Linked DNA regions of Danio rerio. Each later gene encodes a partner of the first gene's protein in a complex. Links are inferred from orthologs where the notes say so. Each region holds a gene or a part of one and is shown on either strand. Other genes may lie near its edges.

Region 1 (4,213 bases):
GGGGTTTACATTTTTTTTGTTGCACTGTAGTTTTGACATCTCTAAAATACCATTAAGTTTATCTTAAATATATTGGTCCCTTACATATAATTATAATTTTTCTCCTTGTGTCTATTTTATTTGGGATTATAAAAATAAATCTCTTTTTTTTTAAATAACTGGTTAAATAAAAATATACTTTTAGTTAGTCAGCTCTTAGATGACTGTGGTGTCCCTTTTCCATATGAAAAATATGATTAATTTTCTTTTCCTGTTCTCCCAAATGCCATAGATTTTGGTGCAATCCCTGATTGTGTTATACCTTTAGTCAAATCTAGCGCCAATGGTTCCTCAGATTCTTTTATTTTTGACAACACAAACCTTTTTGATGACCAAACTCTTCTCAGTTATATGTCAAACAAAGTTATTCGCTTGGTTATTAATATATCTCGGATCTCTTTACCTGCTTGCATAGGTTTTTAGAAAAATATATTTGGTGACATAAATTGGGATCAGTTTTGGCTTCTGTAGAAAAAAAAAAAAATTTTTATCTAATAAAGCTGTTGAAGTCTCAGTCAAAATCATTCATAAATTTTACATTCATGAATGTTAAAACTTTTTTTTAATTCAGAAAGGACTTTGATTTATCTGTGAACTCGTTAAAACACTCAAACTATTATATTGCATGTAAAACTTTTTTTTTTGGTGTAAATAATTGAAACTTGTAGGCCCATAATTTGCTGGAATTTTATTTATGTAACCCTTTTTATCTCTTTGTTCATAATGTATCTTTGTAATGTTCTTTCTTGCATAATAATAAAAAAGGATGTTCCAAGTTAATCAGAGGGGTAAATGTGTTTTATATATATATATATATATATATATATATATATATATATATATATATATATATAAAATCATTGATTGGATAAACATTTGCCTGTAAATGCAGTTTGTTTGTTAAATTTGAATACACGATACCCATTCGGTGGAATGTGCATATGAGCGTACATAAACATGATAGATGCAAACACTTTCATACACACGACGCACATACGTACGTATTAACTCGATCCCTGGATAAACACCCACATTAACACACACACACACACACACACACATAGATATAAACTCGCGACATGCAAACACATATGTTCTTTTTTATTGGGAGAATGTTATTTTTTTTACCATCGTCCCGCCTCCTGTGGTTTTTACAGCACACGATACGTCCGCTCTAGGACTTTCATTTCTCTTCATAAAATACAGCAAATGCGGAAGTGACAGTGGGTTGGGTTTGTTACGCTGGTCACAACCCACTTTTCTTTTATAAAAATGAATTGGGAAAAAAAGTTTATTTGCCAGTGACAGCACGCACTCAAGTGATCATGGCGAAGATTGAGTGGGCGATGTGGGCCAACGAGCAAGCTTTGGCTGCTGGACTCAGTAAGTCCACAAATACACTTTTCATATTTAGGTTCTAAAGAACATTTAAGCGAGTAATTGTGTTACATTGTGATATGTGAATACAGTTAAATTAAAACAATATAGAGCTTTAAAAAGAAGATAGGGGATATAATGTTGTTTAAACATAAGTTCTTGTTATGTAGGCTACCAGTTACATTTTTTAAAGTGTTATATGGGGTTTGGTAGGCTGCTTGAGCTTTATTATTATGTTATTAAAACCAAAAATATCATATTTAATTGATTATTTTTGAGTTGTAAAATATTATGTTTTATATATATATATATATATATATATATATATATATATATATATATATATATATATATATATATATATATATATATACATATACATATACACACACACATATATATATATATATAGTTTTAGGTCAAATACAGGCCTTTGTAAATGAAATGTGTAAATCTTTTTTCCTAAAGTTTATCTGACTGGTGGAATCGTTGGGGTGGCTGGTCAGTTCAGAGGCTGGCAGTTTGCAGCTTTTGGGATGTATCCTTACATGCTATGATTGAATGTTTATGCTCTTTCGGTCTTTCAGTGAGTAAAGTGCCTTATTAAAAAAATAAAGTACCACAGTCTATTTATTGAGACCTTAACTGTGAAAGTGCTGCTGGTGTGTTTGTGTGTTTGCTTGAATATCCACGCAGCAAACGGGGCAAAGGCACCAGTATTGAGAGAAGGTAAGTGTTGATGAAAGCCAAGTTACAGGAAGTACAGGCTGGTGATTTCAACACACCACCAACAATTCATAACCAAAAAAAACACTGAGTCATTTGTATAGTGACAACTTCCTTATGTGAACCATGCATTACTTAAAAGAAAGTTTTTATGTTTAATTACAGCGGTCAGTACTGCTTTACAGTGTGTGTAAAATCTTTTGGACCCCTGACCAGAAACTATTACGTCAGAGCTTTCTTACATGCTGCGTAAGTCGTCAGTCACGCCTTGTCAAGCATGTCCCTTTTTTTGTTTAAGATGATTTCGAAAACATTTTTTTTTTTTTTTTTGCTGTATAAGCTGGTGTCTTATCTTTGTGTGTGATTTACATTGCAGGCTCTGTGTCCCTGGAGGGTTCATGTTAGCCACAGTTTTGGGATGTGTGTGTCTAGGAATGGCAAGTTTGATCTACCTCTCTGTAAGTTCATCCAAATAAATGCAAAATAAATAAATGCTTATTTATCTGAAGATAAGGCAAACAACATGACTCAATTAATGTAACTGTAACAAAATGAAGATTGGGGAACTAAAACCTTAGTTTGCTTCCTGCACACTTACTTCCTCTTCAAAAACCCCTTTTCACTTTTAAACTGTTGCAGTTCACCCTAAAGAAATTTTTATTATTTCACCACTGATTGTTGGAAACTCACATTTCTTCTGTGAAACAAATAAAAGTGTAGAGAGCATAAAAAATCTTGATGTCACAATTTGTCATATGCTCATTCTTTGAAAATTAATTTACATTCTCCATTTGCATTAAACAGAGCAGATATTTTAATGCTGTTTCAACAAATGTTCCCATGTTTTTCTAAATAGGTGTTTATGAGTATTAACATTAGGGTTAGCTTTTGATTGTGAACTTTTGCATTATAGGCAGCTATTCATGGAGAGCACTGGGAGCCTATACTCCACATAGAGACAAAAAAACGTCTTGGGGAGAGCATCAAAGAACCTCCTCAAAACCCACCTCCCAGACCTCCCCCTGAACTGCGACGTAAAAAAGCAGATAACCTGGATGCTGCAGCATATGACAATCCTATGTCTGTCACCATCAACGAATAAAGATTTCCTAAAAGTGTAAATAGTTCAAGAGGTGATGGCAACAAGTAACAGTAATATGGAATGTTTATGATGAGTTATACAGACAAACTGCATTATCATCTGATATAATTGTCTTAAAACTTAGGATGTCACTCATTTGTTGTGTCTAAAATAATGCCACATTTTAGTTCCACTTTTTTGTTATATGTGTAACCTTTTTCTGTGTCTTTTTTTTTGTTGTCTAGAAACAATATTTTATTTATCTCTGATTTTTAAAGTAAAGAAAACAAAATCATGAGATGGTCATGTATGAATGATGAAAGCCTGTTTTAAAATGTTTTGTTACAAGGAACAAGGAAGTTAATTTCCTTTTGTGTCCTCTCGATGACTTGTTTGAAATGTTATATGAAAACAAACAAAAAAAACTTCATCTGACATCTACCAAGTAGATATAAACAATAAAGATAAATGGAAAATATCTGATTCAGATTTTCATATATTCTGATATCTTGATTTTTGTTCTTGAATGAGGATTAATAACGGCAACACTGGATGAGGTTGCAGCATCATCTAGTGCAGAGGTGGCCAACCCTTTTCCTGGATATCTACCTTCCTGCAGATGTCAGTTGCAACCCTGATTAAACACACCTGCCTGTAATTATCAAGTGTTGTTCAGGTCGTAATTAATTGGTTCAGGTGTGTTTGATCAGGGTAGGAGCTAAACTCTGCAGGAAGGTAGATCTCCAGGAACAGTACCCCTGATCTAGTGAGTATGCGGAGCTGTGATCCTTTTCACAGGATTGTTATTGGTCATCAGCATCTTAAATCCTTGAAAGTTTTTTACTATTTAGATTTTTTAAAAATTGTATGAGTATTTATATGTATTTATTTAAGTTTTATATATTTTTGCATCATATTTATATACAGTACTCTCCCAATTACTGCAATTACTGTGCTAAGTTTTTGAAATGGATACATTAATGGGGCATA
Region 2 (3,654 bases), on another chromosome or scaffold:
AATTCGACTAGAAAAAAATGTCCTTGTAGAACTCATAATTACAACTTAACTGTTAACCTGTTAACTGGTGATTTTCTGAGAGCTGTACCATGTTTACAAATTTCACCTTATTGCTTCCAATGTATTTAGGCATTGATAGTATTGCCATATAAATTCAACATTCCACGTCTGAGGGAGAGAAAAGAACCAGTAAGAAGATGTGTTGTCTTATAGAAATTGCAGTAATTACTACATGGGATGAGCACATTGTCATGTGACACCACAGCATTATTATATAACTACAACAACTGACAAAATCAGGCACCGCCCCTCTCCTATTTAAAAAGCCATTTCTGTATCTTTTGATTGTGCATCAAAGCAGGAAAGAAAAGATTAATGGACTTTCATTTCAAGATTTTAAAAAGGTTGAACAGATTAAATAATGAGTGTTCATTTATTCATTCATTTTCCTTCGGCTTAGTCCCTTTATTAATCTGGGGTCGCCACAGTGGAATAAACAGCCAACTTATCCAGTATATGTTTTACACAGCAGATGCCATTCCAGCTGCAACCCAGTACTGGGAAACCTCCATACACACTCATTCACACAAATACACTACAGCCAATTTAGTGTATTCAATTCACCTGTACTGCATGTCTTTGGACTGTGGGAGAAACTCAAACCAGTGACCTTTTTGCTGTGAGGCCACCGTGTCGCTCCATAATAAGTATTTACTGTTTTTAATTAGTCATTTTATTTGCGATCACCTATATAAATAAACTCTTAGAATGATTTTGTGTAGTGTTCATGCAATCTGGACTCACTGTGTTGTCATGTATCATGTAACCTGCTAGCCATTCATTTACCTATAATATATGGTAGCAATACCTAATTTCTAATATCTAATTTACATTAGATTAGTCAGTACCAAAGACAAACTGGAGGAGTCATAACAAAATAACATTCCAAGATAACATTCCAAACATTTTTACAGCCAAATTATTGTTAAGGAAATATTTTAAATAACACTTTAAGAAAGAGGAAAATCATGAGAAACTAAAAAATATATCAAATGTAGTTGAAATATTGTAGGCTGTATTTTTTTTCCTCTCAATATTTTGTTTTAATTGAAATGTTATGCACACTCACCGGTCACTTTATTAGGTACACCTTACTAGTACCAGGTTGGACCCCCTTTTGCCTTCAGAATTGCCTTAATCCTTCGTGGCATACATTTAACAAGGTACTGGAAATATTCCTCCGAGATTTTGGTCCATATTGACTTGAAAGCATCACGCATAGCTGCAGATTTGTTGCCTGCACATCCATAATGTGAATCTCTCATTCCACCACATCCCAAAGGTGCTCTATTGCATTTAAATCCGGTGACTGTGGAGGCCATTTGTGTACAGTGGTCAGCAACAATCCTCAGGTAGGCTGTGGTGTTGACATGATGCTCAATATCTTTTTAAAGTAATACTTTATGTACACTTTATAGCTCACAATACATTGTCTGTTTTATTTGTCAGCTATTATATCATTGGTTCTTATTTATTTAACTTCAACGTTCACAACATAACAGTATGTTGCTGGATGATTGCTAGCCTGTTTCGATGGCAAGAACACTGTGGACTTGCTATGGAAACATCCATTGACCACTCAAGGTCTGCTCGGTGTGACTGCATGGGCTGCTTTGTGTATGGAAACAATGGTATTTGTGATTGTCAGATTAAAAGCCAACATTCAGAGGTCGGACCTTGAAAAGTACAGCAGTCTTTGCACACCTTTTCAAAGCTTTTTCTCCATCTGCTCTGCTCTGCATTTTTCACACTTTCTGAGAGAGCACTGACATTGTTTATGCGCATCGGCTTTAACCAGTGATTCAGCTAGTGCTTTCTGAGAAGATCTTTTCAACAAAAAGACTTTGACATATCCTAAAACGAAGTGAAACAAGGCAGCATGATTTCCCAGGACATTCTTTATTATATAACAAACTTACAAAGAGATTGTGGGATTGGTCATTAAAAAGAAAAAGAAGCTCTGAATAGCTTTAATGTTCGTCTATTTTATAGAAGACAAAAAGAAAGGCTGTATCTAGTCAAGAGATAGATTGATAAACAGCCGAGAATGAAGTGTTTTGATCTGCTCCTCTGCTCCCTCCAGTGGTACCCAGAGGTGAGGCATCACTGCCCTTCCACTCCAATTATCCTGGTTGGCACCAAGCTTGACTTGAGAGATGAGAAGGAGACCATCGAGAAGCTGAAGGAGAAGAAACTGGCACCGATCACTTACCCACAGGGTCTCGCATTGGCCAAAGAAATAGGTGAGGTGGCAGAGCTGGATTTGTCCTTTTTGTAACCCTGGATAAAATTACTCATACCACTTTTCTTTTTTTTTCTTTCTTTTTTTCAAATCTTATTGTGTGTGTTTAAATGTTGTCATGCAACAATGATGCATTAAACTAATCAAAACATTACAGGATATTACACTATTACAAATAACTTATTTAGCTAGATAATGTTCTCTAAAACTTTTTTATTTAACAAAGAATCCTGAAAAATATATCTGTTTCATGGTTTCTATCAAAAAAAATTAAGAAAAATTAACAATATTAACAGTTTTAACTATATTAACAATATTAAGAAATATATGGAGTCCTATTTTTTACCATATGTAATAAGTTATGGCTTTTTATCTCAGCATTGTGAATTAAAATATTTTTCAAGAAGAAAATCAGAATTGGGAGATTTAAGCTGACAATTTTGATAAAATAAACATGCATTTAAATAAAAAATCAGAAGTGCAATGACTTTTTTTAAATGATCGATTTCTGAGGTTATTAATATTCTTTTCTAAATTGTGTGAAAAGTCATTATTTCAAGATAAATAAATAAACCTGAATTCTGAGATGCAAATTTATCAGCTCTTTTACAGTTCTGACTTAATTTCCCTTTGTGGAAAAATGGCTTCCAAAGAAATTCATTTATTTTCCTTCGACTTAGTCTCTATTTTAGAGGTTGCCATAGTAGAGGAGTGAACTGCCAGCTATAGACATGCGGCCTCCATTTTAAAAGCAACAGCGATGCTGCAGGGGAAAGAAACCCGGAAGTATCACCTGGAGTCAGACAGGAATGGTGCCTTCGATGGCATATTGTTGAGTACCTCGCTGTATATCTTATTAGCAAAAAAAAGACACAAATTTATCATTTTACCAATTTCCAAGTGAACCGAAGGTTCGTTCTGAATGGATGGTGAAAATAAAAAGGGATATCGGACCTAATTTTCAGCTAAGTTAAGAGAAATGGCACTAGTTAGCTAAAGTTTTTTTTTTCCAAACACATGTTTTAGATGACATTTATCAAGTTCAAGTTAATGAAATAATTAATTCTTTCACTATATTAGACTTTTCACGATACTGAATTTGGGTACTAAAATTTAAATAAAAACGTAAATTTCCCGCTAACATTTAAGCACTGTTGTGCGCGTCTTAAACGCAGATGATTTGCCGTAGATAGTATTCACCAGTGCTCAACAGAAATGACTGTGATTGGCCGTGAAGGTCATCAGTTCACTGGACTTAACAGATGTTTACCAAATGCAAACACAGACGAGTGATCTGCTGATGAATCAACTGATCTTCATGGCTTTAAAACGCTCCAGTGTCCCTGTATCTG
Region 3 (4,403 bases), on another chromosome or scaffold:
ATACATTGATACAGCAATCCTATACTTAAACTTAAAACATCCTATTTTATATAGGCTACTCTAGGAAATGTACATAAAATTACACGTACACAATATTAGACTTTAGAGAGACGTTGGTAATCAAGCATCAAGAGAGATGGGATTGCTTAAAATTATCATTTAGTTTGGGGCTAAGTTACAAATCGCATGTAAATTAATGTCTAATTAGGAACACAGAAAAGTTAGAGCAAAAACAATAGCCAAAATTTAATCTAGAAGTTTGGTGTTACGGTCACGTCATGTGCAATTATACTTGCAAAATAAATAAAATTATGTTTTACTGTGCTTCAAAGTGAAGTTGGAGTAATAAAGGAGTCTATTTAACAATTTGAACGACGTAACATTTTTAATTTAATAAGTTAAAATAATAGTGTTAGGTTATTTAAAAAAGGGTCAATTCAGTTTCAAATAGTATTGTTTGTTAGTAATGTACATTATTATACAAGTTCACTTAGCATACATAAAGTACACTTAAAATACTTGATCTTTAAGTACAATTTATTTGCACCTTATTGGCACACTTTTGAATTCATTCATTCATTTTCTTTTCAGCATAGTCCCTTTATTCATCAGGGGTTGCCACAGCAAAATGAACCGCCAACTTATCCAGCATATATTTTATGCATTGGATGCCCTTCCAGCCACAACCCAACACTAGGAAACGCCCATATAGGACAGCCAATTTATTCATTCATTCATTCCTCTACCTTTCGGCTTAATCTGAGGTCGCCACAGCAGAATGAACGGCCAACTTATCCAGCATATGTTTTACACAGTTTGTTCCTTTCTCTCTGCAACCCAGTACTGGCAATCATCTATACACACTCATTCACACACATACACCATACCCAATTCACCTGTACAACATGTCTTTGGACTGTGGGGGAAACCGGACCACCCGGAGGAAACCCACCTGAACATGGGGAGAACATGCAAACTCCACACAGAAATGCCTACTGACCCAGCCAAGGCTTAAACCCTCAACTTTCTTTCTGTGAGGCGATCGTGCTACCCACTGCGCCACTGTGATGCCACCTTTGAATTCATACAAGCAAAATCATTCTGAAGTCTATTCTTATTGTTTTTTTAAAACAGAAATTGTTCAACCTTGACCTCCTGTTTCTCAGTGCTATAAATATGAGAAAAGGCCATGCTCTATTATGTGAAATTAAGGTGTCAAGAGGTCAAGCTGCATGATCTGTTACAAACATCTGATTTCCCACAAAGGGTTTAAATTTAGGCAGAAGTCTAAAATCAGTTAATCATGGCTTTAAAATCGAAGATATAACAGGGACAATAACTCCACAAATGTGGACTTACTCAACTGGCAAATGCAAATCCAGAAGCAAGTGAAGCTGATCACTTCCTCTCTCAGAGCAGAGGCTGGGGGTTGTTCTCTTTCAGACTGCCTCTGCTCAGTTCACAACAGAGACGAGCAGCATTCATGTGTTCACTGCTCACCGTGTTTTGAGGGAGCATGTCCTTCGTAAGCACCCTTCGCCAGTGGGATGAGGCCGTGGCTTGTGTGGAGCAAAGAGACCCAGACGCTGCTCTCAGGATATTCCTCAGTATCGAGGAGAAAAACTCCAAGATCGCTTTCAACATCGGCTGTCTTTGTCTGAACAACAGTGACTTAGATGAAGCTGAAAAGGTACTCTTGTATGGCTGAATCAATGTTTTATACTACTTGATGTTTGAATTGTATTTTGAAAGTCTAAAATATTTGTGGCTGTAAAAAGGAAGTAAAAGTAGTTTTATTCTTTATGGGAAATGTATTTCTGTTTCACACCTGCAGGCTTTTGATGGAAGCATTGGCAAAGATGAACACCTGGCCGTGGCCTTTTTTCAGAGAGGAGTTACATTTTATAAAAAGGAAAAGTAAGATCATTACCTCTTGTCATGACACTTTAAAGGACAGTTCACCCAAATGTTTCTATTAAACACAAAGGAAGATAAACTGAAGACAGTTGAAAAAAAATCAGCCATTGACTTCCATACTATTTTACTATGGATATGCCTATCGGTTTCTTCAGAACATCTTTTTTTGTGTACAACAGAAGTTTGGAATCACTTGAGCGTGAGTAAATGACGAGAATTTAAATTTAAATTTGGTGAACCATCCTATTAAGTAAACGTTTTATGCTGTTCTGATGGCTCAAGGTACTTAAAAGAGTGGTCTAGAGTGTATTTTTAAGGCTTGGATGTGTTTATAAGAAGCAAAGCAATGTGTGATCATGCTTGATTTGTAGAAAATCACATTATTTTTCATATATCTTAATTATACGCTAATACTCAGCTAACATGAAAATGCCCGCCCTCAAGAGGCTCTGATTGGTCAGCTAACATAATGTGCATAATTTGCAAACCAGGAAAAGCATCACGCCTTTAATACTGCACGCTGTGTCTCTGCTTTGTAAATACTGTCGGTCAGAGCCAAATCAGTTTGAGCCTGAATCAAACAGAAAATGAAGAGGACACAGCAGAACCTTACGCCTGCTCTCTAAAATAAAATCTAACAAGTGTCTTTCACATATATTCAGAATAAGCATGTGTGTAATTAATATGAAACATTTGCATATTTTTTGCAAGTTTGTTATTTCAGATGTAGAACACAGGGAAAGCGTCCACATGGAGTTACACTGTAGCGCTGCAAAAGATTGTGACTGTTTACAGAGATTTGATGGAGAAATATGAATTTGTAGCTAAATTGTTAGCGGTTTACATCCTCACTACAACATAATGTTAACGCTTAAAACTGTGCATGTAATAGATCAGTTTTCTCAAATAAAAACACTTACAGGTTGTGGCTCTCAAACCACAGCTTCTTTGATTATGGTTGGAGCTGCTGGTTGGTTTTTAGCCGAACCAGCACTGAACTGGGAGAGATTCAGGAAGTTCTCCTTTGTCAAATGCTAGAGCTATATATTTTCATAATTTTCTGGAATTCCTTGTGCCGTGTCCTTTGGAAGCTTAAATACAGTAACAGAAGATGCTCTGTGAAAATTGCAGTTATTGGATGGCATTTTATCTCTTTTTGCTGTAACATACAGCGCCTCTGGCCACGCCCATTCGCTCTGCAGGGTAAATGCATGTAACCTGAAGCATTTGTGATCTCACTAACCTGGATTTTATTTTTATTTTTTGTAGTCCTCAAATTTTGTTCAATGTCGGCTTTGCTAAGCTAACTCTGTAAAAGCCAATGTCTCTCTTTGCATTGAGCGTATTACAGTCAGAGATGTTGTTTATGTTCACACAGCTACATTACACATCAATTAAAGTTTAAAATGTGATATAGTAGTGGACCGCCGCTTTAAGAGCCGATCACAAAATATCTCATTCCACTTTTAATAAACTGATGATCCTAACCTTCTCTCCAGGTTTGAAGAGTCTCTTCTGGATTTCCAACAAGCATTTAAGCAGTTACGAGGGAATCAACTAATTGATTACACACCTCTGGGGCTGAGATATAAACTTTATGCTTGTGAGGCAAGTCCAGATATTTTTTCAACTTTACTGACTTATTAATAGTTGTGATGTGAGTGACATTTTACACGTCTCCATTTCTGACTTGATGGTTTTTCACAAGAGTTTTCTCCTATATTGCAACATCTGACATTAACAGTCACCTCAGTTCATTCTCTAAAGCAGTCTTTTTGTCTTGTGTAATATTAAGGTGCTGCACAACATTGGACTGGCACAGGCGCAGTTGGGAAAATGGGAAAAAGCTCAAGAGAACCTTCTCACTGCTCTGAGCTTGAGAGCAGATGCCAAGTTCAGCCATATTGATCATGCGCTGGATGCCATTCTGGTCTGTATCTGCTTAACTTTCATTATCATAAACATGATTATCAGTTGCTAGGACTCATAAATTAAATTCCTGTTTTAATTTACAAGTTGGCCCTGAAAGTCATTGAATTATATGTTGACCTAATACTCTGTGGTTCATCTCAAACGTTTTGGTTGTTATATGAGGCAACGAAAGCTTGTTCTTTCGTAACTTGTCTAAAAAGTGGTTATGTTTGGTTTGTTTCACAATCAGAGGTTCTGGTTAGATTTTGAGGGAAGTTGTGTAAGTTTCAGAAAGGTCAAAATTCACGAGACAGATGATTTATACTCCGATATCCTTACATAAGTCATCCTTCTAGTAAAATGAACATCATTCTTTGTACGCATTTTACAGACAAAGTAAATTGTGAAAGTATGAGTCAAGGAAACACCAGAAAACACAGTAAAAGCAATTAAACAGTGAGGTTATATAGCAACAAAAAATTACTAACATGCAGTGCATTGGGACTTCGTTAATGTTTACAATCCAAGTCAAAAATATAGGCCTACATTTTTAACCTGGGTTTAAAAATAGATAA

Evidence for each region.
Region 2: cyba (region 1) and rac2 share a complex: the UniProt entries of both Homo sapiens proteins name them as parts of the phagocyte NADPH oxidase complex. The link is inferred for Danio rerio from reciprocal best matches to the Homo sapiens genes CYBA and RAC2.
Region 3: cyba (region 1) and ncf2 share a complex: the UniProt entries of both Homo sapiens proteins name them as parts of the phagocyte NADPH oxidase complex. The link is inferred for Danio rerio from reciprocal best matches to the Homo sapiens genes CYBA and NCF2.

Annotation. Positions count from the first base shown.
Region 1 is NC_133193.1:32,665,596-32,669,808, forward strand, and holds cyba (cytochrome b-245 light chain), read left to right. Parts: upstream 1-1,350; 5' UTR 1,351-1,364; coding exon 1,365-1,422; intron 1,423-1,884; coding exon 1,885-1,954; intron 1,955-2,070; coding exon 2,071-2,145; intron 2,146-2,307; coding exon 2,308-2,391; intron 2,392-2,518; coding exon 2,519-2,600; intron 2,601-3,055; coding exon 3,056-3,244; 3' UTR 3,245-3,706; downstream 3,707-4,213. UniProt on the Homo sapiens protein: Subunit of NADPH oxidase complexes that is required for the NADPH oxidase activity that generates, in various cell types, superoxide from molecular oxygen utilizing NADPH as an electron donor.
Region 2 is NC_133178.1:28,282,578-28,286,231, forward strand, and holds part of rac2 (ras-related C3 botulinum toxin substrate 2), read left to right. Parts: intron 1-2,143; coding exon 2,144-2,303; intron 2,304-3,654. UniProt on the Homo sapiens protein: Plasma membrane-associated small GTPase which cycles between an active GTP-bound and inactive GDP-bound state.
Region 3 is NC_133182.1:41,684,561-41,688,963, reverse strand, and holds the start of ncf2 (neutrophil cytosol factor 2), read left to right. Parts: upstream 1-1,474; 5' UTR 1,475-1,516; coding exon 1,517-1,690; intron 1,691-1,834; coding exon 1,835-1,917; intron 1,918-3,416; coding exon 3,417-3,525; intron 3,526-3,712; coding exon 3,713-3,847; intron 3,848-4,403. UniProt on the Homo sapiens protein: Subunit of the phagocyte NADPH oxidase complex that mediates the transfer of electrons from cytosolic NADPH to O2 to produce the superoxide anion (O2(-)).